4 linked regions of the Anolis sagrei genome follow. The main gene of each other region encodes a partner of the protein of the gene in region 2 in a complex. Links are inferred from orthologs where the notes say so. Each region holds a gene or a part of one and is shown on either strand. Other genes may lie near its edges.

Evidence for each region.
Region 1: NUP107 (region 2) and CETN3 share a complex: the UniProt entries of both Homo sapiens proteins name them as parts of the nuclear pore complex. The link is inferred for Anolis sagrei from reciprocal best matches to the Homo sapiens genes NUP107 and CETN3.
Region 3: NUP107 (region 2) and NUP93 share a complex: the UniProt entries of both Homo sapiens proteins name them as parts of the nuclear pore complex. The link is inferred for Anolis sagrei from reciprocal best matches to the Homo sapiens genes NUP107 and NUP93.
Region 4: the proteins of NUP107 (region 2) and NUP133 are in contact, whole or in part, in a crystal structure (PDB 3CQG), measured with the Homo sapiens proteins. The link is inferred for Anolis sagrei from reciprocal best matches to the Homo sapiens genes NUP107 and NUP133. Residues at the interface, in NP_065134.1 of Homo sapiens: Leu875, Gln876, Ala878, Asp879, Val881, Ser882, Ser883, Glu884, Tyr889, Lys894, Leu897, Arg898, Leu900, Leu901, Gln902, Arg905, Ser908, Leu909, Leu912, Asp917, Pro918, Leu919, Tyr921; in NP_060700.2 of Homo sapiens: Trp937, Leu938, Ile941, Asn942, Gln944, Leu946, Tyr963, Ala965, Lys966, Lys968, Thr969, Leu970, Gly972, Leu973, Lys975, Leu976, Ala977, Leu979, Ala980, Ser981, Asp982, Ile992, Glu999.

What each region holds. Positions count from the first base shown.
Region 1 is NC_090024.1:171,867,599-171,874,517, reverse strand, and holds the start of CETN3 (centrin-3), read left to right. Parts: upstream 1-3,904; 5' UTR 3,905-4,169; coding exon 4,170-4,186; intron 4,187-6,770; coding exon 6,771-6,906; intron 6,907-6,919. Other genes in the region: PARS2 (probable proline--tRNA ligase, mitochondrial), read right to left, coding at 1-256. UniProt on the Homo sapiens protein: Plays a fundamental role in microtubule-organizing center structure and function. As a component of the TREX-2 complex, involved in the export of mRNAs to the cytoplasm through the nuclear pores.
Region 2 is NC_090025.1:143,085,801-143,093,502, reverse strand, and holds the start of NUP107 (nuclear pore complex protein Nup107), read right to left. Parts: upstream 3,010-7,702; 5' UTR 2,932-3,009; intron 1-2,931. UniProt on the Homo sapiens protein: Plays a role in the nuclear pore complex (NPC) assembly and/or maintenance. Required for the assembly of peripheral proteins into the NPC. May anchor NUP62 to the NPC. Involved in nephrogenesis.
Region 3 is NC_090028.1:6,442,348-6,449,992, forward strand, and holds the start of NUP93 (nuclear pore complex protein Nup93), read right to left. Parts: upstream 3,003-7,645; 5' UTR 2,930-3,002; intron 1-2,929. Other genes in the region: POLR2C (DNA-directed RNA polymerase II subunit RPB3), read left to right, coding at 3,086-3,224, 4,451-4,495, 4,731-4,799, 6,767-6,819. UniProt on the Homo sapiens protein: Plays a role in the nuclear pore complex (NPC) assembly and/or maintenance. May anchor nucleoporins, but not NUP153 and TPR, to the NPC. During renal development, regulates podocyte migration and proliferation through SMAD4 signaling.
Region 4 is NC_090021.1:61,261,618-61,268,737, forward strand, and holds the start of NUP133 (nuclear pore complex protein Nup133), read right to left. Parts: upstream 3,017-7,120; 5' UTR 2,918-3,016; coding exon 2,757-2,917; intron 463-2,756; coding exon 344-462; intron 1-343. Other genes in the region: ABCB10 (ATP-binding cassette sub-family B member 10, mitochondrial), read right to left, coding at 6,274-6,535. UniProt on the Homo sapiens protein: Involved in poly(A)+ RNA transport. Involved in nephrogenesis.

The sequences.
Region 1 (6,919 bases), on a different chromosome or scaffold from region 2:
GGTAGCAACCAGGGCTGGCAGGACAAATCAGGCCTGCTAGTAACATCAGTCTCTGACTTTTGCATGTCATTTCCACAGGTTTGCTCTCCTTGGATTCCATGCTTTCCTCTCGCAAATTCATGGACCTAAAATGTTGGGATACATGCTTTCGTTTTGTCTGAAGATTGCAATAAAACCTGCAACATTGTTGCTGTTTTTGACACCAAACTGCCAAACTAGGAAGTAGCATATTCTTTGTTCTAAACAGCCCATCCATTCCAGAGAGGAAATTTCTATTTAAATCTGTAGACAGAGAGGGAAACATATAAAAAAAGACATTAGTTTCACATGAAGTTCACACAAATTTTATATCCAGTGGCTGGAGACCAGGGTTCAAATTGTTGCTTGGTCATGGAAACCAATTGGGTAACACTAGTCAGGTAACATTCTCTCGGCCTCAAAAAACTAAGCAAACCTCCCTCTAAACAAATCTGGCGAAGAAAACTTTGTCATAGGTTTGCTTTAGGGTTGCCACATTTAGAATTGGCTTGAATGTGCACAACAACAAATGTGTATTTACAAAGCATAGCTGAAACAAAAATAACACAAAACATTGCATTCTGCTTCTTTATAATCAAACTGCTCTATCTGATTTCATGTACTGATAAGCATGGAGCTTACCATGAGTTCATGAATTACGGCTCTGTTCCCTGAAACAGTATAAACAGACCTTAATCAGTTTTTCTGCCATCTTTGAAACATAGATACAATCAGGAAAAATAAATACATAGAGTACTCACAAGAATACATCCTTACACTACAACATATAAACTTTACACTGATACAGAAACATTAACATCAGCAGCTACTGGTTGTTCACATACCTACAGAAACAAAGCACAGTTACTGCATTTTTAATTTTCATTTTTCCCTATTGTTTTTCTATGTGTTCTTTAAATCATGTAATCCCTCTCTCTCTACACTCTGGGATTTGAAGAAAGAAAGAAAGCTGGATAGAGAAAAAGAATGTCCCCCTTTACATTGTCCAGTTACACTGCTATTACAACTTTAACCCAAACAGTAAACACATTATTTATTTATTTACTATATTTATATACCGTCCCTCTCAGCCTGCAGGCGACTCGGGGAGGTTCACAGTCGGTACCAAGACCATAAAATGCCATTTCAATATAATAAAACAGTTGAATAATAAAAACCATAACAGAATCAATAAAATCAATATCATTATACAGCTCAAAATAATAATACTGTATTTACTTGATTCTAATGCTCACCTTTTTTGACTAAATTACCTTCCCAAAATTGGGGTACATATTAGATTTGCGTAACATGGTAAATGCTTTTTTTGGGTTTCAAGGTTTTGAAAATTAAGATGCGCATTAGATTTTATGGCACATTAGACTCTAGTAAATAATATTGGTGTCTTCGTTTTTAGGTCTGTTCCTGGGTTATATGGGACGCTGATTTAGAAAATTGAATTGGATACACTACATCAGCTCTAGTTTCTTAGATATCATTGATTTTCTATGGGTGATGAAGACTGGTAGATGGCATATGTTCTGCATCTAAAAAACTAGAACTGAGAAGGGGAAACTGGTGTTATTTTTGGAATCAGCAGCTCAAAAATACCCAGAAACAGGGCTAACGTTTGGGGCACTAAAATGTGAGCATTGTGGGAGAATCTAGAACAGGCATGGGCAAACTTTGGCCCTCCAGGTGTTTTGAACTTCAACTCCCACCATTCCTAACAGCCTCAGGCCCTTTCCTTTTGCCCCTCAGGCGCTTAGGGGCTGAGGGGCAAAAGGAAGGGTCCTGAGGCTGTTAGGAATAGTGGGAGTTGACGTCCAAAACACCTGGAGGGCCCAAGTTTGCCTATGCCTATTGCAGAATCAATGCAAATTGAGCCCACTTGAATTACCACAGCTGATGAGGCACCAGCACTATTGAGAAGGCCAAAACGCCTTGTAAAACTAGAACTCCCACCACCCCATAGCATTGTGCCACGGGCAGTTAAAGTGGACTCAAAATGAATCAATTTGGCAGTTCAGATCCACCTCTGGCCTGAGCAAATCCCCAAAGCGTGGCGTCCAGCTAACTGAGCCACTACATACATACCAAACGCTAAGCAGGACTAAAGAGCGCGCTCTCAGCCCTGACGCCCCATACTGCGCATGAGCGCTGCTCTTCCGGGTTTGCCGCGAGATTTCGGTTCCCGAGTGCCCTCGGATCTCGCGAGACGTGAAACAGCCTTGTCTCATGTGTTACCACTCTCTACCTCTATAGATCCTGGCAGACGTTTAGCTTTTGCTTTCTAAAGGCCCTTCCACACAGCCATTTAACCCAGAATATCAAGGTGGAAAACCCCACAATATCTGCTTTGAACTGGGTTACCTGAGTCCACAATGACATATATGCCACACAAGTTCCATCTTGTCTCCTGTGCTATGCTAATAATATAATTTAACATAATATATTGTATATGCATTTAGTATTTATAATATAATGCAATATAATACTACTAATAATAATATGACATTATAATTATATATTTTATATTATATGTAATATTACTAGTAATATTACAATATAATGGTATAATTATTATTTATTTACGACATTTAAATGCCACCTTTCTCACCCCGAAGGGGACACACAGCGGCTTACAAGACATACAATATATTATAATATAATTATTAGCATAGTACAATATCAGTATTAAATATTACTATATCCTGGGCACACAGAAGACTGGGCGACTTGGAAGGCACTGAACAGACTGTGCTCTGGCACCACGAGATGCAGAGCCAACCTTCAGAAATGGGGCTACAAAGTGGAATCCTCAACATGCGAGTGTGGAGAAGAGCAAACCACTGACCACCTGCTGCAATGCAACCTGAGCCCTGCCACATGCACCATGGAGGACCTTCTTGCAGTAACACCAGAAGCACTCCAAGTGGCCAGATGCTGGTCAAAGGACATTTAACCAACTACCAAACTCACAAGTTTTGTATTTGTCTGTTTGTTTGCTTTGTTCTGTTAGAAATGTAATATAATGGACTGGTTGCTCTGACACGACAAATAAATAAATTACTATATTGTACTATATCATATTGTAATATTATTAGTAATATTACATGTAATATAAATATATAATTATAATATATTATTATTAGTGTTACATTGCATTACATTATAATATTATAAATATTATAAGTATATACAATATATTATTGTATATACATATAATATTTATAATATTATAATGTAATGCAAGTTCTCCCTAGGGGGTGAGAAGGGTGGGGTAGAAATGCCTGAAATAAATAAATAAATTATATTATTAGAATAGCACAGGAGACAAGGTGGAACAATATAATGGTATAGTACAATATAGTAATATATAATACTGATATTGTACTATACAAGATATATATATATATATACACACACAAGATATATATATATATATATACACACACACACACAATATATCATATTGTGTGTGTGTATATATATACATACATATATATGTTGTAGGCCGCTCTGAGTCCCCTTGGGGGTGAGAAGGGCGGCATATAAATGTCGTAAATAAATACAATAAATAAATATATTCCAGTTCAAAGCAGATAATGTGGGATTTTATTTAGCTGTGTGAAAGAGGCCTAAGATTCAAGAGTATTCATTCTCCAAGAAAACCCAATGAAATTAACTTGGTCTCTATAAGTCGACAAGGAAGTTAATAACACATCCATTCCTAAAAGTCCCAAAATTCGTTCTTCGCGCCAACCGAGCAGATTGGGCGAGTTCACGTTCTCTTGACGTCATCAACCCGCGCCGTACCATTTCTCCCCTCCCTTCGCTTCTCTGTGACGTCCCATGCCTTCTGGCAACCTCGCGAGGAAGGCGGGGAGGGAAATCCGATTGACAAGGGACTTCGCCTATCGAAGCGTTGCGATACAAGAAGAGGCGGGAGGGACGCTCCTCAGCGCCCAATCGCGACTGAGCTCTGAAGAGGGACGCCGCATTGTTGACCGAGAAGCCGTTTAGCTTAGGCGTCCGGCTTTTGAAAGGGAAGACGCGTGTTTTCCGGTGGTGGTCCAAAGTCGCCGGCGTTCCTCCGACTCGGCAGCCCACCCGGTGTCCGGTAGAAGGAGCAGGCCGAGGCGAGGAGAATGAATTTAGTGTCAAGGTTGGTTTACAGCGCGAGGGAACCGGGAAGGGAGGGAGGGAGCGAGTGCTCGCCCGCTTCTTGTTGCCATGGAAACTCAACGGCGCTTGTTCTCCGCCCCCTCCCTTTTTGCCTCGCGAGGCGCCTCAGGCGGGCGCGCGCTCCGTGTCCCTCAGCTGCCACCTGGCGAAAGGCTCACGCGCCGCCCCCGCCTCTCTCTCTTTTCCTCTAAGGCGCTTAAGAACACCCAGTCCCTGCCTGTTTCGCCCTTTTGGCCCTTGCCTTGGTTCAATCATGGGTTGAGGTTTTTGCTGGCGTTGTATTCCATTGTGAACACACGCAGACAGACCCACAGGATTTCTAGGAAACGGAGTAGAAGGAAATTGTTTTTTTTCTCTTTCTTTCATCTATATATAAATTGAAATATAATGTTTGTTTGTGGAATTAACAGAACTCAAAAACCACTGGACGAATTGACACCAAATTTGGGCAAAAGACACCTAACAACCCAGTGTATGTCCTTCACTAAAAAAAAAATGATTTTGTCATTTGGGAGTTGTAGTTGCTGGGATTTATAGTTCACCTACAATCAAAGCGCATTCGGAACCCCACCAACGATACAATTGAACCAGACTTGGCATACAGAACTCCCATGACCAACAGAAAATACTGGAAGGGTTGGTGGGCAGTGTTCTTTGGTTTTGGAGTTGTAGTTCACCTACATCCAGAGATCACTGTGGACTCAAACAATGATGGATCTGGACCAATTCTACACAAATACTCAATATGCCCAAATGTGAACACTGATAGAGTTGGGGGGGGGGGGGGAGAGAATCTTGACATTCGGGAGTTGTCGTAGCTGGGATTTATAGTTCACCTACAATCAAAGAGCATTCTGAATCCCACCAACAATAGAATTGGGCCAGACCTCTCACACAGAACCCCCATGTGGGCCACAGCAACACATGGCAGCGGACAGCTAGTCTATATATAAATTAAAATGTAATGTTCATTTGTGGGATTAACATAACTCAAAAACCACTGGCCACAATTTGGCTACAAGACACCTACTAACCCAAGGAGTGACTATCACTCTAAAAAATTGATTTTGTCATTTGGGAGTTGTAGTTGCTGGGATTTATAGTTTACCTACAATCAAAGAGCATTCTGAACTCCACCAATGATGGAATTGAACCAAACGTGGCACACAGGACTCCCATGACCAACATGGACATTGATGGGCATTGATCTTGAGTTTGGAAGTTGCAGTTCTCCTACATCCAGAGAGCACTGTGGACTCAAACAATGGTGGATCAGGACCAAACTTGGCACAAATATTCCATATGCTCAAATATGTACACAGATGGAGTTTGGGTTAAAAAGTAGACTTTGACATTTGGGAGTTGCATTTACTGGGATTTATATTTCACCTACAATCAAAGAGCATTGTGAACTCCATCAATGATGGAATTGAACCAAACGTGGCACACAGAACTCCCGTGACCAACAGAAAATACTTAAGGCCATCCAGTCCAACTCCCTTTACCAGGGCAAGAAAATGTAATAAAGCGCTCCTGACAAAGAGCCACAAAGCCATAGATGATTTCACACACACACAGATACAGTATCATAGATTTGAAAGAGACCCCTAAAGAAGGACAATTCCATGTTGCATGTTCTAGGGTAGGCAACCCAGACAATCTCGACATCAACATGGACAAAGACACAGCAAGAAATACTGTTTACCCACAAGACATTACATATATTAGAAACCAGCACTTTCTCATTACTTCATTTTCCAGATCACCAGCCTGTGGGATTAACATAACTCAAAAACCACTGGACAAACTGACACCAAAATTGGACACAATACACCTATTGTGTAAACCAACAGGTGACCATCACTCATCAAAACACTGAAAAACACAATGCAAGAGACTTAAAAAGCCAAAAAAATAAAAATACATTATAACGCATGTGCAAAACCACATACAGTGTTCCCTCACTTATTGTGGGGGTTACGTTCCAGGACCACCCGCAGTAAGTGAAAATCCGTAAAGTAGGGATGCTATATTAATTGTGAGGTTTATACATTATTGGATGTTATTGGGGTGGCATCGGGGCCTCCAACGGGCTGCATCCCAACCCGGAATGAGGAGGTGAACAAAGCATGTCCGCTCGCAGCCCGAGCCATCAACAAAATGGGCAAAAACAAGTGACAGGACACAAGGGGCCACACACCAGCCTCCCTTTCTGAGGCCCATTGTAATGTAAATATTTTAAATTCATTTTTTAAAAAATACCTGCAACAGCAAGTCCACAAAAAGCAAATACCGAAATATATACACACACATATACACAGACTGGGCCACACCAACGCATGGCAGAGGACAGCTCGTTTTAAATAGATGTCTTCCCCTTCTCCCTGTAGTCTTTTCTTCTACTTGGGGTCCCCAATTCTCCAGTGCACGCATGGGCAAACTTGGGCCCTCCAGGGATTTTGGACTTCAACTAACAAAATTCCTAACAGCCGGTATTGATAGTAATGGCATTACATCGTGCTCTCTATAAAATATTGTGCAAATTGTTTTTCTTCTTGTTGCAGAGCGGAGTTTTCTGTTGAAAAAAATAAGAGAAAGAAAAGAAGAGACTTGACTGAAGAACAGAAGCAAGAGATCAAAGATGCTTTTGAGCTCTTTGACACAGATAAAGACAAAGCTATAGATTACCATGAACTGAAGGCAATTAATTTTC
Region 2 (7,702 bases):
ATAGTGAACTAATTGTCTGAAGAATGCAATTAATGAAGAAAATTAAACATCAAAAATGAAAAACATGATACAAATAAACACATAAAACAAAGTACATTAAAACATAATTAACATTAAAACATCTGACGTAGTAAAACAATTAAAATAGATGAACAATGGCTGTTTTAGTTGTTCTTTAAAGTGTACCATGATGGCCATGGGGCACAAGTAAGTCAGCCAGCATTCCAATGGCATTATTGTGGGTCCCCAGGTGTTTTGGCCAACAACTCCCAGAAATCCCAGCTAGTTTACCAGCTGTTAGGATTCTGGGAGTTGAAGGCCAAAATATCTGGGGACCCACAGGTTGAAAAACACTGGTCTAGAGTATCCCAGTCCTCCTTATTATGAAAACATAAGGAATACAAACCAGAATAAAATAAAATAAGAATAGTACAATGAAACAGATTGCAAAAATAAAGTCTGATTGAAAGTTCAGAATCCTACATTACAAGTTCTAGAAAGCCTGCAAAAGCAGAATTAGTTTGCTTAGTACCAGTATGCTTGTACAGCACCAGTAACATGACAATTAACATGGGTACCCAGGCAGGCCTGCTCTAGAGAGAAAATCTAGCAGTGAAGTGCCGCTATTGAAAAGATACTCCTTCTCATTGTGTTCAGATGGCAAGGCACCCAGAGAAAGATTTGAGGATGAAGGCCTTCATAGATTTCTGGACTGATGCAAGATGGGGGGAAAAAACCAAATCAGGCCGGAAGCCAAAGTAAGTTTATCAGACTTGTTGCACTTGCATATGCAAGCACATACACACACTCCACTTTTTGAAAACCATTGATCTCTAAGAGAGCCAAACTTGGAAAATTTTCAATTTTTAAAGTCTAGTCCCTATTGACCATTCTATCTGAAGGAACCTGGCTATTGGGGTCCAAAAGAATAACACTTTCAAGTTGTGGGAAGAAAAGGGGAATAAATTAATGAGAATAATGTGAGAAACAGCTGTCAGCCACACTAATATTCCAAGGAACGGTGAGAATGAATGAATAGATACTGTAAAAGCACACCTGTCAGTCACATAACATTCCAAGGAACAGGGTGAGTGAATGAATGAGAACAGTGTAAAGAATACTTGTTAGTCACAGTAATATTCCTGTGGAATGGTATGAATGAATGAATGGCTATAGTATAAAGAACATACCAGTTATTCCAATATTCCAAAGAATAGTGTGAATGAATGAGAACAATGTAAAGAACATCTGTCAGTCACAGTAATATTCCAAGGAACAGTGTGAATGAATGAGAACAGTGTAAAGAACATGTCAGTCACAGTAATATTCCAAGGAACAGTGTGAATGAATGAGAACAGTGTGAAGAACATCTGCCAGTCACAGTAATATTCCAAAGTACCTACTAAGGTTAATTCTCTATGAAGGAATGAGAGGAACACCTCAGGCAACTGATTTTTCCTGCAGTCGCCCAACCACAGATTCAATCATCCATGGTTTGAAAACATTTTTTTGAAATCCAAAAACCAAACCTTCAATTTGCCAATACATACAAAGGCCACAATTTTACTATGCCGTTGTGTATGATGGGATGTGAGCACCCATGGATTTTGGTTTTTTTAATGCTTATTTTTTTATTATGTGTGTTTTTGGCATCTAATTGTTGCCTATATATATAAGCTACCTTGAGTCCCTTACGGGGTTGAGAAGGCCTGGGTGAAAATACAGTAAATAAATAATAAAATATACATACTTAGCTGGGAGTAAGCCCCATTTAACAGCCCACTGTTTCAAGAAAGGGGGAGCACAGTGTCTAGATCTAGGGAAGTAATGCTACCCCTCTATTCCACCTTGGTTAGACCACACCTGGAACAGTGTGTCCAATTCTGGGCACCACAATTGAAGAGAGATGTTGAGAAGCTGGAATGTGTCCCAAGGAGGATGACTAAAATGATTGAGGGTCTGGAGAACAAGCCCTATGAGGAGCACCTTAAGGAGCTGGGCATGTTTAGCCTAAAGAAGAGAAGGCTGAGAGGAGATATGATAGCCATGTATAAATATGTGAGAGGAAGTCACAGGGAGGGGGGAGCAAGCTTGTTTTCTGCTTCCCTGGAGACTAGGATGGGGAACAATGGCTTCAAACTACAAGAAAGGAGATTCCATCTAAACATGAGGAAGAACTTCCTGACTGTGAGAGCCGTTCAGCAGTGGAACTCTCTGCCCCGGAGTGTGGTGGAGGCTCCTTCTTTGGAAGTTTTTAAACAGAGGCTGGATGGCCATCTATCAGGAATGCCCATGAGGTCTCTTCCAACTCTCTTTGATTCTATTATTCTAAATTCAAATACATGTTTACTGGACTGGGGGAGGTTAATCGTTTTTAGCTACAGTGAAATAATTGAGAATTCCTAACATAGCTAATGTTACCTATCTTTTGTGGGGCTGTCTCTTTCACCTTCCCCATAATAGAGACAATCCTACGTCCCTCACAAAACTGTATATCCCAGAGAAAAGGTGATTAAATTGCCATCCAAGCAGTGCAGTGTGAAAGCGAACGGGCACTTCCGAGAGGCTCAATGCTCGAGCATCCCTTATCTGAAATTCAAGACTTCAGAATCCCCAAGTGAGTGACTGAGACAGTGACACCTTCTGCTTTCCAATCCCCGGCTGAGGGGGAAAACCAAGGGGCCCGAGGCTGTTAAGAATTGTGGGAGTTGAAGTCCAAAACACCTGGAGAAAGGCCGAATCTTGAAGCTGAAGCGGCGGGAAAGAAAAGAGAAGAGGCCTTGGCTGCTTTGCTGAGGCGAAGGACATGCCTGAGGCCATTTCTTCCTCGGCTGCTGAACTATAGAAGGCGGGAGGGCCTCACCTCTCAACCCAATGCTCACGCCTCCCCTCCAGCCTTTGACTCGCCTATAGACCTTCCGCCATACTCACCTGCTCTCCACAGCCGAGTGCCGGCTGCCGCTTGTTGCTTGAGACTTCCCGCCCGCCGGAAGCGGAAGTGAAACTCAGGACCCGGATGAGGGCAGGAGGCTCTCTCCCGAGACAAGGGAATAGCTCCATGGAGATGTACACATGGCGCCCCCTGCAGGCGAGGAAGACCGCCTAGCCCCCACCGCTTTGGGCGTGGCGGGAAAGTTTTCCATCGCTGGAAGGAAGTTTGGGGCCCCTTCCTGACAGCTCAATCAAACCCCGCAGTATCTGCTTGGAACTGGAATATATGGCAGCGTGGACTCAGGGCCCTTCCGCACAACCATAAATCCCAGAATATCAAGGCAGAAAATTCCACAATATCTGCTTTGAACTGGGTTGTCTGAGTCCACACTGCCATGCATTTCAGTTCAAAGCAGATATTGGGGGTTATTTTGCCTTGATATTCTGTGTTAAAGGGCCCTCAGAAAACCCAGTTCAAAGCAGATATTGTGGGATTTTCAGCCTTGATATTCTGGGTTTTATGGCTGTGTGGAAGGGCCCTGATGAGAGATTGCAGGTTAAAGGTGCCAGAAAAGCCGCTATTTGACAACTGATGGGCAGATTCAGTGCCCCTTTTTTGGCATTTAATAATAATAAAACTTTATTTATACCCCGCTACCATCTCCCCAAGGGACTCGGTGCAGCTTACATGAGGTCAAGCCCACAGTACATCAGTAAACAAGGCAATAACAAAAACAATCAATACAAAACAATATAAATCACATAAACAAAAAATTTCCGAGTATTTGTATCATGAAGTCTAGGACTCGGGTCTAAATGCGAAATTCTTGTAGGGCTCAGACTTTAGACACCTACACGTGACCTAAACGGTACTACGCAGTACACAAAACCACCCTAAAGTAAAGGTGTCACTATGGGTGCAACTACTCTGCAGAATGAATGGGGTTTGATACTACTATAACTGGCATGGTTCAATGTTCTGGAATCCTGGGACTTGGGGTGATACTGGTACTCTTTGGCAGAAAGGACTAAAGACCATCCAAAACTAGAGCTGGCAGGATTTCACAGTATTCAGCCATGACAGTTCAAGTGGTGTCAAACTGCATTACTTCTACAGTGTGGATCAGGCATGGGCAAACTTTGGCCCACAATTCCGAACAGTAGGCTGTTAGGAATTGTGGGAGTTGAAGTCCAAAACACCTGGAGGGTGTAGATGCACCCCATCTGTTACCCATGTTGAAAATTTTGGAGTGTATTGGCTTTCCTTTATTGGTATTAGTGCATAAGTGCTGGTTTTAACCTATAAAACCCTACACAGCTCTGGCCCGGTTTACCTGTTCGAATGCATCTCCTCCTATAAACCATCAAGGATGCTAAGATCATCTGGAGAGGCCCTGCTCTCGATCCCACCACCTTCGCAGTCGTGGTTGGTGGGGATGAGAGACAGGGCCTTTTCTGTGGTTACCTCTGGCTATGGAACTCTCTCCCTGGCAAGATTAGGTCTGCCCCCTTCCTCTTATCAATCAGGAAGCAGCTAAAATCCTGGCTCTGGAATCAGGCATTCGCAGTTTGATAGATGATCCGGCATAGACGAAGATTCAATGAATAATTGGATTGAGTTGGATGATGTTTTTAACCTGATGATTGTCTTTTATATGCATTTTAGAACTTACTGTGTATGTTATTTATGTTATGTATTGTAAAGCATTGAATTTTTGCTATTAGCCGTGGTCTGAATCCCTCCACGGAGGTAGAGTAGAACGGGATACAAAAGTTCTAAATAAAAAATATTTTGATATATGCATCTTAATGGTGTTGCATTTGTTGGTTTTAACCATGTTGTACCTCACTTTGAGCCTTAATGTTCTTCTGGAAGGGAAGCTGTGCTTACATACATAGCTATGAAACAGAATGAACAGTTCTCTTTTTTGGTGCCATCCTGTTTTCACCAGGTTTTTCAGCCACTCATGCCCTAATGATGATAAAGCTTACAGATCCAACTACAAAAATGTTTTGAAAGCAAAGGAAAAACAATCCGTGCAAGGCCACACAGAAGAAGAGACAAAACCCATTCTTTTCCAGTGGCACAGGTAAAAGCAAACAGGTGAAGACTTCCTGGCTTGTATGTTCTTTATTAATAACTTTTGCCACATTCAGATGTTGCCTGGCCACGTGCATCCTGGTTTAATTCTTTGAGATGTTGCAAAATATGCTATCTCTTTCAGTCCTCCTTCAGAAAGAAAGGGCTTCCAAATATAGCTGGCTCAGCCATAGATGCATAGCTTTGTGAGGGCTCTTAATGGTACATAAAGGAGGATTTCATTGCAGCGTTTCTTGTTCTCTACCTGCTGAGGTCAGTCGTCTTTTCATCCATCATAAAATATGGGATCTCTGATGTTGTACACTTTTTCTATTCTTAGCTATACACTTTATCCTCTTTTTTCTTCTGAACTGAAGGAGTATCAAGGAAAGGTTCATAGATGAGTATTCGGTATCTGAGAATCAGCTACATTTCTGTGTTTACTTCTGCACCATCTGTGAACTTCCTAGATAGTGCAAGAAGAAATCCCCTGTGCTCTAAAATTAAAAGACCAGTCAAGCGATGCAAACAAAATCAAATCAATTAAGATAAGAAATAGGACATGAAATGTGTAGCCTAAATGGGAATTTCGCCATGAATGCTCTCTCTACTGCCAAGAAATCAACAAGCTGTATATTACCCTGTTGGTTCTTTACTTAGTTTTTGGTTCAGCTTGGTTTTAGGTTGCAAGACTTAAAACTTCATATTCAAGAATAGTTCAATGAGATTAATTAGATTAGTCCTTTCGAATCCCATTTCTAATAAGAAAGGAATTACTGGAGCCAGGTGTTTTTTTGTATCTAGAGGGCCCTTCCAGATTGATCTAAAGAGGTGAGAGGGTAAATAGAGCCCACAACAACAACTATATGTTGGGATTGTAGGAAAAAATCCTGAGAACTACAAAAAATGATGTAACTGCTTTTTACATTTGCTCCATTTGGAAGAGAAGCTTCAAGAAAGCTACAAAAATCAAAGTCATGAATAGATAAAAACAAAAGAGAAATATGTTCACAGAGTGTCTTTGGTTTTATCCCAATTGTATGAATGTATTAACGCAGTGAAATTAAAACAGACTATGCATGGTAAATTTAATTTATTAATCCCTAAAACAGAGTTATGGATCTGATAATGAAATACGTTTATATGATGTAAAATTAAAAAGTGATCAGTATTGGACTGGGATTTAGAAGAATTAAAACAGCAATGAAGATTGATCCAATTCCAAAAATTGCTGTTGAAATTTTACATTATTGGAACATTAGTGGTTTAGGAGCATACATCCATGATGACTTATTGGTGACAAATACCATTTTCTTGTTGACTTCTGTATCAACTGTAAACCCTATGTTCAAGTCCTAAATCCTTTTTTTGTCCAAGTATTTTAACCACCTTATGGCTAACATCAGCAAAAGATACAAAACATTCACTTATAGATAGTTGTAATGCAAGCCCTTGCATGGCAATCCAAATTTATTGAACTACTGATGCTAAGTCATACAAAATTGCACCACTTTTAATTAAGGCTTTTAGTTTACATTTGGCCACCTCAAAGCAGTTGTAACATTAGGTTGGTCAATTTAAATACTGTGGCTCCCTGTTGGATTTTACACGCAATCTTTACACCCAAACGTTAATGCATACAAAGCAACAAGGCATTGTTAAATAAATCAGCAAAAAGGTAATTACTGCAACTTAGGCCCTGGGACCAATTACACATGATTAAAATTACTTCCCACATTCACATCCACAGTACTCGTCCACCATTTAACATCTCAACCAAAACGTTACACATGTAAAACAATCACTAACAGGCAAAAGTACTAAACCTGTATATTTGGTATTGCAAATACACTTATGCATGAGCAAGCAAGGGAATTCACAGTGAGAATCTACAGCTGCAGAAGCCCAAAAATGATTTACAAAAAAATTGTTAAATCATTAAAAAATCGTTTTAAAATATACACTTCTTGTTGTAGACCCCCACTGTACACACAACTATAAACATTGTTCCCTATGTAAACAAGGAAAAGGAAACATACAATAAAAGGTTGAAAAATCTGGACATTTCCTTCCCAACAGATATTAAAGGCAATGTCTTTAGGCAGACATTATACTGAAAGGACTCATTTTAATAAGACTAGGTCACTGTCTCCACAGGTTTTTTATCCTAAAATTAAAAAACTAGATAGCTGTTGTGTTAATCAAAGCGCTTTTGTACAATACAATGATGATCCTGTATTTCTTTTAAAAAAGTTACAATAAGCTACAAATACCAATGAAGCAAAGTTATCTGGAGTAGTCTATATAGGAGCTCTTTGGACTTTCTTTTATTACGCTAAAATAGTGGTGCTTTTAGGATTTACATTATTGTACTCTCCAATAGGAAGTATGGGGTTTGTTGTAGATACAGTACAGTTTTCATACATGTACAACATTGGCGGATGAACAATGTCTCTTTATCTGTAATACTGGATGTAGGCTCTGGTTTTACCAGTTGCATACACATAGGTTATTTATAAGTAAAAATCTCTCGTGACACTGGAACGTGATTAGAATGTGCAAACTGATGTAGTAGCTGTCATCCGTTTCATAAGGGTACCACCATAGGAAAGTCCATTTAAGATGTTGGTAGGTTTAATAAAGTTGGAATGCTGGCACTGTTGTAGTCAGCAACAGTTCTTCAGACCTAGA
Region 3 (7,645 bases), on a different chromosome or scaffold from region 2:
GTATATTTCCTCACCTGTATGAAAGTATATTTTATGACCCATTTTAATGAGTTTCTCCCTCACAAACAATCTGCTCCTTTGCTGTTTTGCTGTTGTAATTTTAGAGTTTTACACAGAGAAGCCATTGAAATCCACAAGCATGTGGACAATTTCAACAGAAAGGAAGAGACCATGAAAATGAACAAAATCTGGCTACCAGTATTAAAAAACTCAAAAATTACTACAGCAAAACAGCAGAGAGGAAACAACCAGGCACATCTTAACACCTCTCAACAAAAGATTCCCCCAGGCTCAGCCAGGCCTTCAAATGCTACTGAAGGTGGTCAGTTGAAACATTCACACCTAGCTCCAGCAGAGAAAAGCTCTTTGCCCCACCCCAGCCCGTCCACAGATATATAAACCCATGGTCCTAATTCCAACAGACCTCACTACCTCTGAGGATGCTTGCCGTAGATGCAGGCGAAACGTCAGGAGAAAATGCCTCTAGAACATGGCCCTATAGCCCGAAAAAACCCACAAGAACCTAGTGATTCCAGCCATGAAAGCCTTCGACAATAGTATTAAAAAAACTCTAAAATTACAACAGCAAAACAGCAGAGAGGAAACAACCAGGCACATCTTAACACCTCTCAACAAAAGATTCCCCCAGGCTCAGCCAGGCCTTCAAATGCTAATGAAGGTGGTCATTTGAAACATTCACACCTAGCTCCAGCAGACAAGAGTTCTTTGTCTCACCCTGGTCATTCCACAGATATATAAACCCTTTTTCCTAGTTCTAACAGACCTCAGTACCTCTGAGGATGCTTGCCATAGATGCAGGCGAAACGTCAGGAGAGAATGCTTCTAGAACATGGCCATATAGCCCGAAAAAAACCACAAGAACCTAATTTTGATTATACTTGCTCCAGAGGGGCATAGTTTGAGAAGGGCTCCATACATCATTTGTGCTATGGATTTTGCCTCAAAGAGCTTAAACGCTGCTTGTATGTAGGGGTAGTATGTAGGGGTAGCATAATATCACAAAGGACGACCACCTCACCAGCCTCATAGGAAACCTGCTACAAAACAGGAGCTTCTTTGTTGAGTTCCAGGGTCAGAGAAGCAGATGGCGGAAACAGAAGAACGGACTGCCTCAGGGGAGCGTGCTTGCTCCATCCATGTTCAACATCTACACAAATGACCAGCCACTGCCAGAAGGGACAGAGAGTTTCATCTACGCTGATGATCGTGCCATTACTGCTCAAGCAGGGAGCTTTGAGATGGTTGAACAGATACTCTCTGAAGCTCTAGGTGCTCTTACTGCCTATTACAAGGAAAACCAACTGATCCCCAACCCATCTAAAACACAGACATGTGCCTTTCATCTCAAGAACAGACAAGCATCCCGAGCTCTGAAGATCACCTGGGAAGGAATCCCACTGGAGCATTGCAGCGTACCCAAATATCTGGGAGTCACTTTGGACCATGCTCTTACCTACAAGAAGCACTGCCTGAACATCAAGCAAAAAGTGGGTGCTAGAAACAATATCATACGAAAGCTGACTGGCACAACCTGGGGATCACAACCAGATACAGTGAAGACATCTGCCCTTGCGCTGTGCTACTCTGCTGCTGAGTATGCATGCCCAGTGTGGAACACATCTCACCACACTAAAGCAGTGGATGTGGCTCTTAATGAGACATGCCGCATTATCACAGGGTGCCTGCGCCCTACACTACTGGAGAAATTACACTGTCTAGCCGGTATTGCACCACCTGACATCCGCCGGGAAGTAGCAGCCAATAGTGAAAGGACCAAGGCAGACATCTCCAGCCCATCCCCTGTTTGGGTATCAGCCAGCACGTCAACGACTTAAATCTAGAAATAGTTTTCTAAGATCTACAGAGACACTCACTGGAACACCTCAGCAAGCGAGAGTCCAAAAATGGCAGTCCCAAACCCAGAACCTCAACCAATGGCTGATACCAGATGAGAGACTTCCCCCTGGGCACACAGAAGACTGGGCGACTTGGAAGGTGCTGAACAGACTGAGCTCTGGCACCACGAGATGCAGAGCCAACCTTCAGAAATGGGGCTACAAAGTGGAATCCACGACATGCGAGTGTGGAGAGAAGCAAACCACTGAACACCTGCTGCAATGCAACCTGAGCCTGGGAAAATCCCCTGTTGAGAGGTGTTAAGATGTGCCTGGTTGTTTCCTCTCTGCTGTTTTGCTGTTGTAATTTTAGAGTTTTACACAGAGAAGCCATTGAAATCCACAAGCATGTGGACAATTTCAACAGAAAGGAAGAGACGATGAAAATGAACAAAATCTGGCTACCAGTATTAAAAAACTCTAAAATTACAACAGCAAAACAGCAGAGAGGAAACAACCAGGCACATCTTAACACCTGTCAACAAAAGATTTTCCCAGGCTCAGCCAGGCCTTCAAATGCTAATGAAGGTGGTCATTTGAAACATTCACACCTAGCTCCAGCAGAAAAGAGCTCTTTGCCCCACCCAAGCCATTCCACAGATATATAAACCCATTGTCCTAATTCCAACAGACTTCACTACCTCTGAGGAGGCTTGCCATAGATGCAGGCGAAACGTCAGGAGAAAATGCCTCTAGAACATGGCTCTATAGCCCGAAAAAAACCACAAGAACCTAGTGATTCCAGCCATGAAAGCCTTCGACAATACCTATAAGCACTGTTATCCCGCTTTGGCTGCCATGGCAACATGCGAGAGGGCAATGAGGCCGGCAATAGGGGCCTCTCAGGCATTCCAAGGCCTCGCCACACCACAAAACCCCTCAAAACGTTGCCAAGGTATAATATTATAGCCGGGCTATAGTAAAGCAGTGTGACAAGGCTCTCGAGAGGAAGAGAGAGAGAGAAGGGAGCCTGGAATGGGAGAAGAACCGCCTTCCAGTCAGCGAGGGCCTACCTTGCTTGCTTCCTCCCTGTTTCGCCGCCGACCGCCGCCTGGAAATGACGTCGGCGCCGCTCTGCTCCCCGATTGGCGGAGAGCGCGGCCGGCGTCTCCCAGCAGCCCCCGCGGCTCTCGGCGTCCGCGCCAATCCCGGCCTCGTTCCTGCTGCGCATGCGCCGTGGTGTTTCAGGCTCTTGCGGCCTTGTTTGGGTCTCCCGCCAGCCATGCCTTACGCCAACCAGCCCACCGTCCGCATCACGGAGCTCAGCGACGAGAACGTCAAGTTCATCGTGGAGAACACGGACTTGGCGTGAGCGGGGGCTTGTGTGGAGGAGGGGCAGGGCCTAGTCTGGAGAGGGAAGCCGGGGCCTAGAGTGCTTCTGCTGCCCCACTCAGGCACGGAGGCGTCTCAGGCCACCTCCTGGGCTTGGGAAATAGTCCCATATTATTATTATTATTATCCCCTACAAAATGTTTAGACAAAATTTTTAAGACTAACAGATTTATTTATTTATAGCTGTCTCCTGCCACGCGTTGCTGTGGCCCTCCTGTATATATATGTATTTGTGTGTATATATGTGTGTATATATGTGTTGCATATGTGTGTGTGTGTGCCTATGTGTAAGGTAAAGGTAGTCCCCTGACATTGTTGTTGTTGTTCATTCGTTCAGTCGTCTCCGACTCTTCGTGACCTCATGGACCAGCCTACGCCGGAGCTCCCTGTCGGCCGTTACCACCCCCAGCTCCCTCAAGGTCAGTCCAGTCACTTCAAGGATGCCATCCCCTGACATTAAGTCCAGTCATGTCTGACTCTGGGGTGTGGTGCTCATCTCCATTTCTAAGCCGAAGAGCCGGCATTGTCCGTAGACACCTCCAAGGTCATGTGGCCGGCATGACTGCATGGAGCGCCGTTACCTTCCCGTCGGAGCGGTACCTATTGATCTACTCACATTTGCATGTTTTCGAACTGCTAAGTTGGCAGAATCTAGGGCTGACAGCGGAAGCTCATGCCGCTCCCCGGAATCGAAACTGCGACCTTTCGATCAACAAGCTCAGCAGCTCAGTGCTTTAACCCACTGCGCCACCGTTGTGTATATGTGTGTGTATATGTGTGTGCTTGTCTATATGCATATTTGTTTCTATATGTGTGTGTATGTGTGCATGTGTATATTTGTGCATGTATATATGTGTGTGTATGCAGATGTATGTGTGTTTATAGTTGTGTGTGCTTGGGTATATTTTTATATGTGTGTTTATGAGTTTATGAGTATATGAGTGTGTGTGTATGGTGCATTTTGGGGTTTTTAAGTCTGTTCTGCTAGGGGGGGCTGTATTTTTAGTGGTGATGAACACTCGTTGGACTGTTAGGTGTATTGTGTCAAAAATTCGTGTCAATTCGTCCAGGCCGCCCCTGCCACACGTTGCTGTGGCCCACTCTGGTGGTCATGGGGGTTCTGTGTTGGAGGATATAAATACATATAATACTGCTAATAATAATAACAATGAATATTTCTCTGTTTTTCTTTTCCAGAGTAGCTAATTCCATCAGGAGAGTGTTCATTGCTGAAGTTCCCACCATCGGTATTTATCTATTCTTTATTGTTTATCTATTAATTTATTTTATTTTAAACATTTATATTCCACCCTTCTCATCCCGAAGTGGACTCAGCATATATACGGCAAACATTCAATGTTGGGACTCAAATTCTTATATGTATACATAAACAGTATGTTAAAGTCCAATACTACGAATTGAAGACTTTGAGCATGATTAATCAAATTGCTATTATCTCATTTTGTACTATTTTGTTTGCAGCCATAGACTGGGTACAGATAGATGCCAACTCCTCGGTCCTCCATGATGAGTTCATTGCACATAGGTTGGGTGAGTAACCGGCATAGGACACGATAGGAAAACACAGGCTTCTCTAGTTTTGTTTTTAAAACAATATTTTATTATGTGCGTAATTCACATAAAATACATTCCAATGCTTTGATGCCGAGCCTCTTTCTAACTCTGGATTTTTCATAAAATAGTGTAATGCCCAACACATTTAATTTTTCAGATTGTACTAGCATTCAACATTATTAATTACATTTTTAGTAATATCCCCAAGTTTTTCCTCTCCTGCTATATTTTTCTTATGTTATATGCCCTTTGGGAATTCTGGATCCTGTTTATTTATTTGTCGTGTCAGAGCAACCAGTCCATTATATTACATTTCTAACAGAACAAAGCAAACAAACAGACAAATACAAAACTTGTGAGTTTGGTAGTTGGTTAAATGTCCTTTGATGGGTATCTGGCCACTTGGAGTGCCTCAGGTGTTGCTACAAGGAGGTCCTCCCTGGTGCATGTGGCAGGGCTCAGGTTGCATTGCAGCAGGTGGTCAGTGGTTTGCTCCTCTCCACACTCGCATGTTGAGGATTCCACTTTGTAGCCCCATTTCTCAAGGTTGGCTCTGCATCTCGTGGTGCCAGAGCGCAGTCTGTTCAATGCCTTCCAAGTCGCCCAGTCTTCTGTGTGCCCAGGGGGGAGTCTCTCCTTTGGTATCAGCCATTGGTTGAGGTGCTGGGTTTGAGCCTACCACTTTTGGACTCTTGCTTGCTGAGGTGTTCCAGCGAGTGTCTCTGTAGATCTTAGAAAACTATTTCTAGATTTAAGTCGTTGACGTGCTGGCTGATACCCAAGCAGGGGATGAGCTGGAGATGTCTCTGCCTTGGTCCTTCCACTATTGGCTGCTACTTCCCGACGGATGTCAGGTGGTGCAATACCGGCTAAGCAGTGTAATTTCTCCAGTGGTGTAGGGCGCAGACACACCGTGATAATGCGGCATGTCTCATTACAAGCCACATCCATTGTTTTAGTGTGGTGAGATGTGTTCCACACTGGGCATGCATACTCAGCAGCAGAGTAGCACAGCGCAAGGGCAGATGTCTTCACTGTGTCTGGTTGTGATCCCCAGGTTGTGCCAGTCAGCTTTCGTATGATATTGTTTCTGGCACCCACTTTTTGCTTGATATTCAGGCAGTGCTTCTTGTAGGTAAGAGCACGGTCCAGAGTGACTCCCTGGTATTTGGGTGCGTGCGCCTTGCTTTGGGACCAAAGTTCTTGATTTGTTCCATCCGTAGATCATCCAGGCCAGCTGGATCCTGTGAACCATGTGATCTTAATTAATAATAATAATAATAATAATAATAATAATCTATATAAATAAAAATGTAATGTTCGTTTGTGGGATTAACAGAACCCAAAAACCACTGGACTAATTGACACCAAATTTGGACACATGACACCTAACAACCCAATGTATGCCCTTCACTCAAAAAAATTGATTTTGTCATTTGGGAGTTGTAGTTGCTGGGATTTATAGTTCACCTACAATCAAAGAGCATTCTGAATCCCACCAACGATAGAATTGGGCCAAACCTCCCACACAGAACCCCCATGTGGGCCACAGCAACGCGTGACAGGGGCTAGTAGTAGTAGTAGTAGTAATAATAATAATAATAATAATAATAATAATAATAAAAATTTTAATATACCATGCCACCATCTCCCCAAGGGGACTTGGGGCGGCTCACATGCGACCAAGCCTGACAATACAATAAAGCAAAAATACAGCATAAAAATACAATAATGTAATGACAATAAAAATAAATATAAAATAAAAATAAAATACAAGAAGCAATGCAGATAAACACCAAACAATATACAACCACAGTAATTAGATCACGAAAATCTCCCATGGTTTTGAAACCAGAATATATCTTGTTTCTTCCTAGTTGATCGTCTTTTACCTTGCACCTGAGTCTACATGTGTTTTCACTACTTTCTCTGTTTCTCGCTAGGTCTGATCCCTCTTACCAGTGATGATGTTGTTGATAAACTGCAATATTCCAGAGTGAGTCTAAGTCTCAGTGGGCGGAGGCCTTATTTTCTTGGAATCTATATAAATAAAAATGTAATGTTCATTTGTGGGATTAACATAACTCAAAAACCACTGGGTGAATTGACGCCAATGAGTGACCATCACCCCTAAAACACACAAAAAAACCCAGCAGAATGGACTTTAAACCCCCCAAAATAAACCATATATACATATACACATACATTCATATACACATGCACACATACATACATAAACATTTAAATATGCAAACACACAAATATACACACCTACATATACACCTACACACATATATGCATATACACAAGCACACACATGCACAATATACATATACACATATAAACACAGAAATATACAGAGAGACATGCACACATATATACACACATATATGTGTGCAAGCGTACATAAATATACACATACAGTATACATACATATACACCTACACACATGCATATACACAAACACACATATACACAAGTTACGTATACACATATAAACAAAGAAATACACAAATCTATACACATAAATACACACATATATATACACACACAAATATACACATATACACACCTACATATACACCTACACACATACACATACGTACACACATATATGCATATACACAAGCACACACATGCACAATATACATATACACATATAATCACAGAAAAATACACAGACACATGCACACATATATACACAAATATATATTTATGCAAGCACACACAAATATACACATACAGATACATACATATACAACTACACACATATATGCATATACACAAGCCACACATATACACAATATACATACACACATATA
Region 4 (7,120 bases), on a different chromosome or scaffold from region 2:
GGATATAGGGCAGTATAGAAGGGGCCTAAGAATATTCTCATACTTAGAACTATCTCCTTAAGGAAAGCAGCAAAACCACACGTTAAAATGAATACCATTTGCTTGGTTTGATAAACAAAGCTATTTCTACCTAAATCGAAATAAGAAGCATCTCATGTACAAATAAATAACACTAAGGTTACATCTTTCTATCTCAATCTTCAAACCCATGCTTTCTAAAATAGCTGTAGACATAAACTTTAAAAGATATTGGCAATGTTCCCAGGAATGTTACAAACCTAGCAGGAAGATTTTAGCTATTTTTCCATGTTTGGTTATTTGCATAGAAAAATAAAACACTTACCACCAGCCATTCTCAAGGCCTCCATAACTTTTACTGGTAGGGGCGAGCCAAACCCTTTCACGTCATAGTTAATGGTTTCACTTCCTGTTGGATGATGCACAACCTTTGTGGGAGTACACCTAAGCAAAAAGAGAAGTAACCAACATTTTCCATATTTCTGTTTCAATTAAGTGGTAAAGTAGCTACAACTGATTTTAGAGTTTGTGTATATTTATAGTTATTTTATGTCCCAGCATGGAATGTTTGCCATATATATGTTGTGCTCCCTTCGGGGTGAGAAGGACAAAATATAAATGTTTCAAATAAAAAAAAAATAACCTTGTCAAGAACATTGCTTCACTGACTTATGCTAATTTCATTCATCACTGTTTGAACAAATGTGTGGAACACATAACAAAACAAAGATTTCAGTTGCCACTTCATTTATTGGGGATGACGACCCACAAATGCATTTTCTTCTTGCCATGGAAGGAAAATCCTCACATTTAAAAACCAACAGGGCTGCTATTAAGTTCTATCTATGGTGAAATCCAATGTTCTGAAGTTAATATAAGCCACAGCAGTTACCAACTTCAGAACACTGATTTTCCTTGGGAACAAAATGTCAGAGAAAAAGGATGAGTTCTCTTCTGCCTTCTCCAAAACTTATAGTGAACAGCCCAGCCTCCACAGCTGTCATTTCCATTTCTTGAAAATGGACACATTCAATACATACATTACAGATGTATCAAATTACATGAATATATACAACACAGAGATATAGCAATATGACACCACTTTGCCCTTTGACAAGATGCTTAGAATTTCTTCCAGTTATTCCTAAGAAAATGTTATGAAATTCATGAGGTTACTATAAATTAATTTGAAGACAAGCATGTGCACACACACACACACACAAACAACACGCCCATGAGCAACAGCACTAAAACTTTCTAGGTGTGATTGCTGACTATCTCCACAAAGTATGGATTCCACAGGATGGAGCCAATGTTCTAAAGAGCTACAATTGAATAAGGTGTATCCATATTCGCAGAGTGCGACTTTGGGACATAAGGGTCCCAAACCCAACTCAGCCGCAGAAACTTGCTAGTTATCCCTGGTGAAGTTACATTTCCTTAGACTTACAGAGAGGCATTGGCAAACCATCCTCTGAATAAAAAAAAGCTAAAGATAGGTGCCTACTAAGTCAGGATCAATTTGAATGCACATGATGATATAGAGACATGTACAGTTAATGCGATAGCCACTGGGCTCTTATTTCCTGTTGCTGTTATGACAGGTTGAACATCATCCCTTATCTGGAAAGCTGAAATGCTTCACAATCCAAATCTGGGCAGCTGAGGGCCCTTCTACACTGCCCCTTTATCCCAGGATCTGATTCCAGACTATCTGCTTATATAAATATGTATAACTCCTCACTGTCGATAACCTATGATAAACAAGTTTTGGGAATTCTAGTTGGCTGTTGTATGGAATCTGCCCGGAGTCCCCTTGGGGAAATAGGGTGGAATACAAATAAAGTTTATTATTGTTGTTGTTGTTAATCTGGGATCAGATCATGGGATAAAGGGGCAGTGTGGAAGGACCCTGAGAGTGTGACACTTTTGCTTTCTGAGGGTTCAGTGTCTAAAAGTTGTACTGTACATACAGTTAATGTGGTGGCCATTGGGTCCTTATTTCCTGTTGTTGTTATGACAGAGAATCCCTTATCTGGAAAGCTGGACTGCTCCACAACCCAAATCTGGGCAGCCAAGGGCCCTTCTATACTGCCCCGTTATCCTCTGATCTACAACTGTAAATACAGTACAATTCTACCCTCGGTTCACTTCTGATATGACAAATAAAACAAATAGCGCCTAAACACATTGCTTCGTGAATAAAATTATCTTCCGGCTGTGTGTGTGAGAGAGAAGTATATGCAACATCAATACACTTTGTGTTTAGCTGTCGATCGCATATCCAAGATTTGCATAATGTATATGCAAATACATTCCAAAATAATAATTGCAAACAAAAAATCTCCCTGTGCATTTTGGATACAAAATATTCACTCTCCAGGCATGGGCAAACTTGGGCCCTCCCTCCAGGTGTTTTGGACTCCAACTCCCACCATTCCTAACAGCCTCAGGCCCCTTCCCCCTCAGCTTAAGCGGCTGAGGGGGAAAAGGAAAGGGCCTGAGGCTGTTAGGAATGGTGGGAGTTGGAGTCCAAAACACCTGGAGGGCACAAGTTGGCCCATGCCTGATTTATTATTAGTTCCCTTCCATTAATTAAAAGTTCCTAATCCAAAATTAATGACGTACAAGGTTCTCCACCTATCCCCTTTATCCCCATCTGCTCGGTAGTTTGATGTTGTAGTTTCACCAGGCCTTTAGCCTTCTCACCCCGAGTAGGCCGCCCCTCGCGTACTCACCGCGCCGACAGGGAGCTGACGTTCCTCCGGGCCACGGGCGAGAACAGCGCCGGGGAACTGACAGACGCCTGGCCCTTCCTGCCGCCGAGACGGAGGCCCCTTCGGCCTGACCCACCACCGACCGGGGTGTGAGGGGAGCCCACGGGGGTCGAAAGATACATGGTTCCACCTCAGGACGCCAAAGCTCACAGAATACACGGAGCTTTCAGAAGTGCACGAGTTCCCGGGCGGCTCCCGATGACGTAGACGTTGTGTTTCTCGCGCGTTCTAATAGCGTCATCCGGATTCCCAGGATGGGATTGACTGGAACGCTTGAGAAAGGCGGGGCTTCCGTGATCCAGCTGGGCAGAGTTGAAGGTCCGCCTCGGAAGTTTTTGAGTTTAGCTTTTGGCGGGAAGGTTAACGCCCGCTGCTCTTCCTCATTCAGCTTAAGGGAAATTCAGAACGGTTTTTGAGGGCCCTTGCAAGCTCCATTATCCTTTCCCTTGTGTTGCTGGATGCCTTTCAAGTCGTTTTTGAGCTATAGCCTCGCCATCACTGGGCATTCTGGAGGTCAGGCTACACAGAGAAGCCACTGAAATCCACAAGCATCTGGACAATTTCAACAGAAAGGAAAAAACCATGAAAATGAACGATAACTGGCCACCAGTATTTTAAAAACCCCTCTAAAATCATAACAGTAAATAAAGAACAATGCTCAAATGCAGGGGAACTCAAGACAAAAAATCAGGGACAGCTAATCACCTCTCAACAAAGGATTCCCCCAGGCAGTAACAAGCTACACCTAAAAACTCAGACCATCAAATTCTAACCAAGGTGGCAAATTGAAATATTCAAACCTAGCTCCAACTGACAAGATATATAAATCAAATTTCCAACAGACCTCGCAACCTGAGGATGCCTGCCATAGATGCAGGTGAAACGTCATGCTTCTAGAACATGGCTATATAGCTTGAAATACCTACAACAACAGTGAGAAGCTACACCTAAAAACTGTCAGGCCATCAAATGCTAATCAAGGTGGCCAATTGAAACATTCACACCTAGCTACAACAGACAAAAGAGTTCTTTCTCCTACCCTGGACTTTTCAGATATATAAACAGATATATAAACCCATTTTTTCCTAGTTTCTAACAGACCTCACAACCTCTGAAGATGCCTGCCATAGATACAGGTGAAACGTCAAGAGAGAATGCTTCTAGAACATGGCTATATAGCTCGAAATATCTACAACAACCCATTCTGGATGTGTCTGTCCTTAGAAGACTTGCTTTGGCCTTCTCCTGAGAGTGGTTCCTTCCACACAGCCATATAACCCAAAATATCAAGGCAGAAAATCCCACAATATCTGCTTTGAACTGGGGTATCTGAGTCCACACTGCTATATATTCCAGTTCAAAGGAGATTATATGGGATTTTATTCAGCTGTGTAGAAGGGGCCAGTAACTGATCCAAAGCCATCCAGGGGGTTTCCATGGCTGAATTGGGATTTGTACTCTGGTCTCCAGCACCAAACCAGGACTCCTCACTGGCTTCCTATCCATGTCTGTTGTGTGCCTTCAAGTCCATCCTGAGTTATGGCGATCCCAAAGTAAATGTATCATGAGGTTTTATCATGGCAAAATTTGTTCAGAAGAAATTTAACACTGGCTTCCTCTGAGACTGAGGCCCCTTTTACACTGCCATATAAGATCCAGTGTAGACTCATAATCCAGTTCAAAGCAGATGTGGATGATCTTCTTTGATAATCTGGATTATGTGGCAGTGTAGAGGGGGCCTGAGAATGGGATTTGATGGTGGTTATGCAGAGCTTTCCCAACTGTGCATCGAAACTATTGCTGTGTCCACTGACCTGTTGTGTAGGTGTGTCACGGATGTAGGAAAAAAAACCTTGAGTTTATGTGAAATAAGCAATAAATCCTATACACACACACACACATGCAAGGTTTTCGTAGGAAATGTTGGCAAACATTTCCTAAAGTTTGATAATAATTTCATAATACTTACATGATAACTTAATGAGGTTCAATACTGAGGAGTATTATTGGTGTAAGGTCACACAGTGAATTGCCTTGGTTGAGCGGGGCAGAACAATAGGCAGAGCACTCAAACCACTAAACTACACTGGCTCTTATCCTGGAAAAACCGCTTTTTGAGTGCAAATCTTGTCAATAAATTATTTAAAAATGAGATTACTTTCAACTAAATTATAATGATGACCTCAGTACTAAGGGGCCAAACTAGACAGGCTAAGCCTCTTGGGGCTGCAGAAAGGTATTTAGCACCTCAATTTTCAAGTAAGGTATAATAATGATTAAGATTGTTGTTGTGTGTCTTCAAGTCATTTCAGACTTAGGGCGACCACAGAGATTCCTTGTCAAGATTTATTCAAAGGAGATTTGCCTTTGCCGTCCTCTGAGAGAGTGTGATTTGCCTAAAGTCACCTAGAGCCATTGTCCAAGGTTCAAACCACTACACCAGGCTTTTTGAATTCTGAATTCCTTCCCTCTCTTTTTTTCTACCTCTTCTTTCTCCCTTTCTTACTCTTCCTCCTTCCCTGATTCCTACTTACATTTCTTTCTTCCCTTTCTCTCTCCCTCCTCCTCTTTTTCCTACCTCTCTTTTTCTCCTTTTCTTTTTCTCCATCCCTCCTTTCTACCTTCCCAGGGGTGCAAGGAGTGCCAGGAGTGGTGAAGTAAAGTGGTGGGCAGAAGGGAAAGTGGCAGGAACCAGGAGCAGGGAAAGCGGCTGGCTGGCATGACCTTTATCAAGTCAAATCATAGGTCCACTTAACTCACTGAGAATGGTAATAGTCTTTATAGTATCTGATAAAGATTTAGCCCAGATTTGATGGCCAAAATTTTTTGTAATCTACTATAGTAGGAATTGAACCTGGGCCCTTCAGCATACAGATTGCTTTCTTTCTTAAGCTCAGAACAGACATCCCAATACTGTGTGTGATGAGGAAAATTTCAAAACCACAGTAGGGATTTAATTCTAATGACTTGGGTTCTATTGCAGAAGACTTGCAAATCCAGTAGAGGAATTTTTTAAATGTTTGCTTTTTAAAACAAAAGCAGTTTCAGAATGTAAGAGTTAAAAGAGCCCCCCTTTTCTGTAAGCAAAACGCTCTCTGAACTGATCTCTATCTTTTCAATACAATGACTTTAAACAAAATACCAGAATTACACATTTAATTTATCACCATCTTAAATGGAAAAAGAATGTGCTTCCACGCCGTCAGGTTTAAAAAAATAGTAAACATCCATATCCATCAATCAAAGCAGCATAAAAATATTTACATTGTAAAAACAATTTACTGTTTCATATCTTCACAAGAATATAATTATAATTAGATTCTCTGAATAAAAAGTTTAGTACAGCCATGTTTTAAAATACACAGGAAAAATATAAACACATTTATTATACATGAATTGAAACATAATTTAAAATTACTTGGAAATGTGTTACATTTCCATTCTTTATATTATTTCATTTTAAAGTCTTTTTTCTTCTTCAAGATTTTACATTTAATGCAACATTTTCACTGTGCTGGAGAAAAGACTGTTTCTTCATTAATTTGCTGAAGAGTCCATTTGGGTTTGCAAGCAATTTTTCATGTTTCCCACACTCAACAATTCTTCCTTGATCAAGAACTGCAACAGAATTCGCATTCTGAATAGTGGACAGACGATGGGCAATTATGAGAACAGTCCTTCCTTCCATGAGTCGATCTAATGCTTCTTGGACAAGGAATTCGTTTTCAGCATCCAATGCACTAATTCATGAACAAAATGATGAGAAAACATATATTATTGTCCTATATCCCACTTTAGAATAGTTAGCTTACTAGTTTGCTTTCATTTCAGGCTTTTTATAATGTGACAGTATTTTAAGAGTATTACATACATTTCTTTTTAAAAGCAACAACTTTATTTCTGTGTAAAAAATATACCCTTCTGATAAATCAAGTCCCTGATGAAATTCAGGTAAGTGCACATATTTTTAACCTGCAATGTAACATACTTCTTTAGATTATTGTTTCAAATCTGTTGACACTAAGTGAATGAATATTTCTAGATGGAAGTCTCAGTTTATCAGAAAGTCTTCCAAAAGGGAGGTCACTGGAAAGTTATGGAATGTGTAACTTTTTTTTAATCAAAGAAATACACAGACTAAACCTAGTTGCAAAGGCACAGCTTAACACTACCAAAGGCTTGGAAACGCACTGTTCTCACATCAGACTTTTACCAGTCCCAGAGGGCATCTACACTGTAGAATTAATGCAGTTTGACACTACTATAATGGTTAGGGCTTGATGCCATGGAATCATGGGAGCTGCAGCTGGCTGAGGCATCAGTAC